2 linked regions of the Ovis aries genome follow. The protein of the gene in region 2 purifies or fractionates together with the protein of the main gene of each other region. This does not show direct contact. Links are inferred from orthologs where the notes say so. Each region holds a gene or a part of one and is shown on either strand. Other genes may lie near its edges.

Region 1 (3,651 bases), on a different chromosome or scaffold from region 2:
CACTGAGGGTCACTCCCTCCTGTGGATACTTTCTTACATATTCTTGCTTGTTTTCACTTCGCAGTGTTGTGATTATGTTGTTACCACTGTTGTGAGAAATGAGATTTTTAATTGCAGGAAATGGTGTTTGCAAGTGTCGAGTGTGTGAGTGCAACCCTAACTACACCGGCAGCGCCTGTGACTGTTCTCTGGACACCACGTCCTGCATGGCCGTGAATGGACAGATCTGCAACGGCCGCGGCGTCTGCGAGTGTGGGGCCTGCAAGTGTACAGACCCCAAGTTCCAAGGGCCAACCTGTGAGATGTGTCAGACCTGCCTTGGAGTCTGTGCTGAGCATAAGTAAGTCTTTCTCAGTTGCTTGAAATAGGTGATTGGTCACTGTCTGTTCGCCTGTGTGTGATCGCACGGTACCTAGAACAGTGCCGACACCAGGCCACACTGTAAATAAAGTATCTGTCACCTTGAAGCCCACTTTTTAAATCTAAAAATTCTCAATCGCTAGTGTTGGCACATGATAGTGAATTGTATCCTATGAGTGTGGTGGTACCATTATTTCAACCTGAATTTGGTATTTAATTGAATCCATGTGGTAACCTTTGTTAAATTAGTATTACCAATTGCTATTTACTGCCTTTTGACTAAATAAAATGGAAGGTTTTGTCTAGCAGAAAGAACCATAATATCAGCAACACATTTCAAAAGTTATTTTGGCTTTATATTGTATATTTCATTTCTGATTGGGCTAGTTTTAGCTTACTACTCTTATTTCTTTTGGAGGATTTTAGTTTGAGCTATAATAAATCTATAATTTCACTTAGGAAGCTAGCATCTTTTATGTTTAGTTTTCCCACCAAGAAATGTCATATGTTTCTTCATTTATTCATATCTTCTTTCATCTCTCTTGGCCAAATTTGGTCAAATTTTGAGTCTAGCACACAAAATAATCTTTGAGCAAATATTATTATAAATAATAAATATAATCATTTGCATTTTAACAGAGAATGTGTTCAGTGCCGAGCCTTCAATAAAGGAGAAAAGAAAGACACATGTGCTCAGGAATGTTCACATTTCAACATTACCAAGGTTGAAAATCGGGACAAATTGCCCCAGCCAGGCCAGGTGGATCCCTTGTCCCACTGTAAGGAGAAGGACGTTGACGACTGCTGGTTCTACTTCACATACTCAGTGAATGGGAACAATGAGGCCACTGTTCATGTTGTAGAGACTCCAGGTAGAAATCTGATCATTTCAAAGTTTTTTGCATTTTCTTTTATGTCTTTCTGCTGGTTAGAGCTTTTGGCAGTTCCCCTTGATCCCTGGGTTGGGAAGATCCCCTGGAGAAGGGAAAGGCTACCCACTCCAGTATTCTGGCCTGGAGAATTCCATGGACATTCCATGGAGTTGCAAATAGTCAGACATGACTAAGCGACTTTGACTCACTCACATTTAGGAACAGCTTCCAGCTACTTTACATGACTACTTTGCATTCAAGTTAGGACATTTTAATCTCTTCAAACTTAAAATAGTATTTAATTAACTATAAGAAATAAGGGAAAGAGAAAGCAAATTTTATGTTATGGAGAGTTTGAAGAGTAAATGCAGTAACCCGTATAAAGCCCTTAGCACAGTGCCTGGTAGAAGGTACTCAGTAGCATCATCACTAATAATATTTTTAATAGCAGCTTGATTTAGGCTTGGACGCTGGGAAAGATAATTGTTAAAGGGTATTATATGGCATGAATTTGTTCTGCTTTTCAAGAGAGGAATCATTTTTATCTTTTTTTTTTCTGGGAACTTTTAGTACATTCTTTGGAATTTTCTGCATTTGTGATTAAGTTATTATTGGAATGTAAGTTTTCATTTCTCTAGGATAAATGTTAGGGATTGGGGAGAGGGCATATATTTAACTTCAAAAGAAACAGGCAAACTTTTTTAAAGCCTCTGTTATTATTTTGCATTTTCAGGTATGTGTGTTTCAAATACTGTTTTTTGAAGACCAGAAGCTTAAATTTTACCAAGTTTTTCTTTTGTAGATCTTGCTTCTTACTACCTTAGAACTCTTTGCATAACTCAACTTCATAAGTATTTTTCTCCTGTGTTTTCTTCTGAAAGTTTTAGTTTCTGGATTTGCGTTTAGGTCCATAACGTATTTTGGGCTGCTCTCAGTATCTGGAGTGGAGGTCCAGTTATTTGTAGGTAGATTTCCAGCAGTTCTTGTACCATTGCTTGAAAAGGCTGACTTTTCTCCACTTTGGGTGAAAATAAGATGACCTTATGTGTGTGGGCCTGTTTCTGACTTTTGATTCTGTTCCATTAATTTAGGCATCTGTCCCTTAGCTAATAACACACTCTTTCAATTACTGTTGCTTCACGGCTAGTTTTGTGACATCTGGTAATGTAAATTGTCCAGCTTTGTTTTTTCCTGAAAGTGTTTTTGAGACACTTTCCTAGTTCTCCTACTTCTTTGTAAATTTTAGAATTCGCTTGCTTGATATCCCACACATGTCCTGCCAGGATTTTGATTGGGATAATATTGAGTTTATAGATAAAATTGGGAGAGGATTGTCTAATCAATTGTCTAATTGATGAACATAGATAAAATCTCTCCATTTATTCAGATCTTTTTTAAAAATCAGTGTTCAGTAATTTTTAGCATATAAATCTTGTACATGTTTTATTAGGTTTATACATAAGTATTTTGTGATTTTGGTGCTATTGTAGATAATACTATTTTCTGAGGTTCCGTTTCTAATATATAGAAATCAGTTTTGGTATAATTCATAGAAATACATGATTTTTATTTATTGATCATGTACCTTATGATCTTGTAAACTTATCTGTTACTTCTAGTATCTTTTTTTATAGGTTCTTTTGGATAGTGTGCCCCAAGATACGTCACTTATCTTGGAGTTTCTATTCCTGTGTCTTTTGTGAGACTGCACAGCTCTCTGTGGTTCTGGCTGCACCTTCACAAGCTAACCCCCCTTGTGTGCGTATCCTTTGCTTTTTACTTTACAGAGTGCCCCACTGGCCCAGACATTATTCCGATTGTAGCAGGTGTGGTTGCTGGGATTGTTCTTATTGGCCTTGCATTGCTGCTGATTTGGAAGCTTTTAATGATCATTCATGACAGAAGGGAATTTGCCAAATTTGAAAAGGAAAAAATGAATGCCAAATGGGACACGGTAAGTTGGAAAACATCTAAAATGGAAGGTGTTTCATAAAGTAAATGTAACGCTTCTAAGACTTGTTTATTAGCTCTAAAGCTGATTATTAAAGTCCTTTAAATATTTCAGTTGCCCCCCAGAATTTATTATTCAGGAAACTTGCATTCAGTGAAAAACAGAAAACATCTTAAATACATCCCATTAAAAGAAAATAGTTGTAAGAATGTTTCTTCAGGTTACTGTGGTATTTTTATTTTCTTATTAATTTTAATCTTAACTCTGCTCTTCTGCCTTTTCTTCTTATATAAAATAGAATCCTGGGGACTTCCCTGGTGGTGCAGTAGTTAACACTCACTTCTAACACAAGGGGTGTGGGTTCAATCCCTGGTTGGGGAACTTGGATCCCACATACTTGGCATGACCAAAAAAATTAAAACCCTACATAATTTCAGACTATTCAGTGGAAAGCTGCTGCTTTTTTTT
Region 2 (4,261 bases):
AACTCTGGTGCTCAGCCTTCTTTATGGTCCAGTGAGCATCCCTACATGACTACCAGAAAAACCACAGCTTTGACCAAGACAGACCTTTGTCGGCAAAGTAATGTCTCTGCTTTTCAATATGCTGTCTCAGTTTGTCATAGCTTTCCTTCCAAGGGGCAAATATCTTTTTGTGCAACCTCATGGACTATTGCCATGAATACTGGAGTGGGTAGCCATTCCCTTCTCTAGGGGGTCTTCCCCACCCACAGATCGAACCTGGGTCTCCTGCACTGCAGGCGGATTCTTTACTGTCTGAGCCACAAGGGAAGCTCCTTCTCATAGTTACCTGCTTTATAAAGGTTTAGAATGGTGCTAATAATAATGATTAGACTAGTAACTCCTTACATTTAGTTTATTAAAATATTTGATTACTGGAAGGATCCTGGCTTCAGCAACGTGCTGGGAATTTGTGGGCAAACTTTCAGAGGAAAATCCAGATTTAAAGAAAATTGATTATCCTATTTCTTAGGTTGGGAAGTAAAAAGCTCAGTAGTTATGGAATGTTCTCTTTCCAGACCTGGGCCTGAAATAATGGAAGAAAATACTCACAATGTAATGCAAACATGAAGCATCACGAGTTCGTACTGGGGCTCTCACTGGTCTTTGTGTCTTTAAGTAAATCCCTTCAAGTTAACAATGAAATCAGCTGCTTATTATCTTGGAGAGGAAGGAATGAGAATTTTAACACACACAACACCCCCTCCCCCCGCCCCCCGGCCCCCACACACACCCCCAGCTCTTGCAGCAGCTCTTGCTTAAATATCACTTCGGGATAATCATAACCTGTGGGCAGACCTTCTTTCCTGTCGGGTTAGTTTCTAACCTGGTCATTCTGCGCTTATTTTTGTCCGTTTCTCCACCCACTTGGGAAAGGCAGGAAGGCAGGCACCGCGCAGCCCCCGAGAACGGTGACTGAGACCCATGGCTTCCTCCCAGCCCTCCTACCCCTGCCAGGAGCCGGAAGGCCTGCACGAGGGCCAGGGTCTCTCCGGGACCCGGGGTCTCCCCCGGGCTTACGTCAGACTGTCGGGGGGCGGGGCAGATGACTGCCTGACTTTCGCCTTCTGCTGTGCAGGCAGGAAGGGCCCCCAGGCACGCGGTCCACATCCCCGCGGCTTCCTGGATCTCGGGGCTGGGATGGTGTGTGGGGGTGTAGGTGAGGCTTCCGGGGGTGTGGAGCAGCCAGGTGTGGCTCGCTGGGCGGAGGGGGTGGGCGGGGTCGGCCGGGGCAGGTCTGCTGTGTGCCGAGGCTAAGGGGCGGGCCTTGGCGCCCCTGGAGCTGCCGGGCAACTTTTCCCGGCTCACGCCCGGGAGCGGGAGAGAAGCCCTCGGGACGGCTTCTGGAGAGTCTCAGTGTCCTTGGATCCCCGCGCAAACCCACAGCAGCTCCAGCGCCAGGGCGACGGGCTCAGGATGCGGCCAGGACGGACAGGCGGCACGCCGCTGCAGCTGGTGTTAATGGTCAGTCAAGGTAAGCGACGTCTTTGCTCCGCATCGGTTGCAGGAGGAACCTGCGTGGGTCCCCGGGTGGGGGCACGAGCCAGGAGTTCTGCGCCAGCGAGACGCAGGCGACTTTCGTCTCGGCTCTGATTCCACGTGGACCCAGGCTTCCAGCCTTCCCCGCGGGACGGAGAGGGACTCCTCATCCCAGCTCCGGCTCGCCCCCGCCTGGTGTCCCCATAAGGCGTGTCTCACCCTGTCTGTAAAGCACCTTTCGAAGTTAACTGGAAGCGCGCTTCGCTCTCAGGCACACACGCAAGCGCACAGAAGCGTGGGGGAGTGGGGATTAGCTGGGCGCCTGCAGTCCGGCTCAGACAGGTGCCCCGCCAGACCCGGACTCCGGGGTTCTGTGCATCCCGACAGCTCGGTCCTGGGAGGTAGCCTGACCCTCAGCGCGATGCCTGGTGGCTTTGCAGGAGCCTGGGAGCCCATTAAGCTTATTTTTCAACCCGGAGCGTGTGACTAATGTCCTCATTTCTCCAGAACGCAGCACTGCTGTGTCTTCCCTTGGGGGACGTAGGAAAACCAAGCGCCTCTTAGATGCTTGGCAGAGGGGAATTCTGCCCTTCTGCCTTCCTCTTATTGTTGTAACGTCGTCTGTTCAACGAATGCAAACTTAGGTCCAGAAAAAGTTTTTTCCACTTTCTCGATCTCTGGCGCTACAACAAAAGAATTACGCGCAGCTGTAGCTCCTAGGGCAAGGCGGTGACAGGCAGGTCCGCCCCTCCCCTGACCCCTTTTTCACTAAGTGGAGAAATGAATCTGGGGGTGCCCAGCTGCGGCGCGACCACAGTCCCTCAAGAGCGCGTTGTCCAAACTTTATCCAGAGCCTCGTGTGTGCTTATTTCAAGAACTTTAGTTTACTTTTGGGGTGGAGTGGGGGAGTCACATTTGTATTTTGTAATTTGAATAGCTAGCAAAAGAAAAAAAAGTGGTCTCATTTTCAAATGTTTATACCTAGAGGATAATCTTTGCTAAACTGCCCTCCTTTGAGGCGCCAGTTGCTGTCCTTGATCCTGAGAGAAATCTAATGCAGAAGAGCCTTGTAGCCTTTGCTCCAGGTTAGAGAAATAGCAGAAATACAGAAAAATAGCAGAGAAAGAGAAATTGTCCTCACCCCAGCAGAGAATAGGCATCAGTTAGTTTTCTTCTCTAATCCTGGGTCTACTACCTCAGATATTCTCTCCTGGGACCCCAAACATGTTCTTATGGGCCATCAACCCTAATCTAGAGGTTTCAGATAAAGTTACTTTCACCTTGAGATTCAGTCCCTGGAGACCACCACTTTCCTAAGAGCTAATGGACCCTTCAGTCCAAGCTTTTCAGCTCTCTTTAAGTGCCCTTTATTAACATAAGCTATGGAAATATAACATTTTCTTATTTTCGAAGTGTTGAGGCTTGTTCATAACAAAGCAGTGAGAAATAACTTTAAAGGAATGTGGTACTGCAAGGCATAAAGTCAGGTTCAGAGTTTTTTTCCCCCCAGAGTTGGTTAACAAGGACAACTCGACACCTTGCTGCAAGCCAGCAGAGGTGATATAAAATGACATCTGTCCAAACAGTTTGTGTAGTTCCTCCTTCCTCCTGCTCCAGGTATTTCTGTACTCAAGGAACAGGTTTTCTCTTAATTCAGGATGATCGTAATAAAGCTTTCTCATTTGTGATCTGAACCCAAGTTCCCAGGAAAACAGCATCGTTTCTCTGATACCATGCATATCCAATATTAAGGTGAATAATTGAAAGCTCTCAGTTTGTGACAGCTACAGTTTTTTATGGCATGACCCTATCTGTATAAAATTTTTGAGCACCCATCATTATTATACATACATATTTGTAGTTGTTTATAGGTTATATCCATGTATAATTGTTCAATATAAATACCAAAAATTAAAATGTAAAAGTCTCATATGTGTGTGTGTATTTATACATCTAGCATACACTCCAGCATATAAGCCAACCACTATAGAAACTTAAAACCATCAAATCTCATTTTAACACTTAGATTCAGATTGGCTGTCTATAAACATTCTCACAGGTATTTAAGAAAAAGCAGTGCTCTTAGTTTGGTCTCATATTTATCACCTTTCATTGATCTTCCTTGATTTAAGTGCTTGCAATCATTGAAGTGGTAACCAGCAGGTTGAGACTGGAAAAGAAAGACCATAAGAGGCCTGGATAATCCATAAACCAAGGTCCATAGAGGAAAGGGAATGTGATTTTTAAATGCATGACGTCACTTACACTCTCTAGTGTGTTGCTTGGCCAAGGATAATCCTTGCCCCTGGATTCTAGGCCTCATCTTCTGCTATCTCTGGTACCCTGCCCAAGTCACCACTGTCTAATGAATATTTTCAAATCCCTAATTTCCCCTCGGGCTGTAAATATTCTAATTTCCCTCTTAGTAAGCAGGCCCTCCATTAGTATGTGATTTGGCCGCTCTTTCCTCCTGAAACACCGTCCATCCCTGGCTTCTGTTCCCCCTGTTTGTCTCCTATTTTCCTGGCTGTCCTTCCTTAGTCTCCTTCACAGGCTTGGCTCTTTGACCCAGTCCTTGCTGGTGTTCACAGAGTTCCATGCTGGATCCTCTTCCTTCTACTGGTTCTCTTTGGGCCTGCTCCCCATTCAAGTCAGCATCTCCAGCCAGACTCCTCTGCTGAGTTCTGGTTCAGTAAATATCTCCACTTAGGTGACTTCGTGTCCCCAACCAAAGTGGATACCTCTC

What was found. Proteins that work in one complex are often made in the same cells at the same time.
Region 1: the proteins of ITGA2 (region 2) and ITGB1 purify together in Homo sapiens (co-immunoprecipitation; 3 studies listed by BioGRID and IntAct, with this or other methods). This does not show direct contact. The link is inferred for Ovis aries from reciprocal best matches to the Homo sapiens genes ITGA2 and ITGB1.

Annotation. Positions count from the first base shown.
Region 1 is NC_056066.1:19,329,567-19,333,217, forward strand, and holds part of ITGB1 (integrin beta-1), read left to right. Parts: intron 1-117; coding exon 118-340; intron 341-999; coding exon 1,000-1,232; intron 1,233-3,019; coding exon 3,020-3,186; intron 3,187-3,651.
Region 2 is NC_056069.1:26,266,140-26,270,400, reverse strand, and holds the start of ITGA2 (integrin alpha-2), read left to right. Parts: upstream 1-1,351; 5' UTR 1,352-1,452; coding exon 1,453-1,510; intron 1,511-4,261. UniProt on the Homo sapiens protein: Integrin alpha-2/beta-1 is a receptor for laminin, collagen, collagen C-propeptides, fibronectin and E-cadherin. It recognizes the proline-hydroxylated sequence G-F-P-G-E-R in collagen.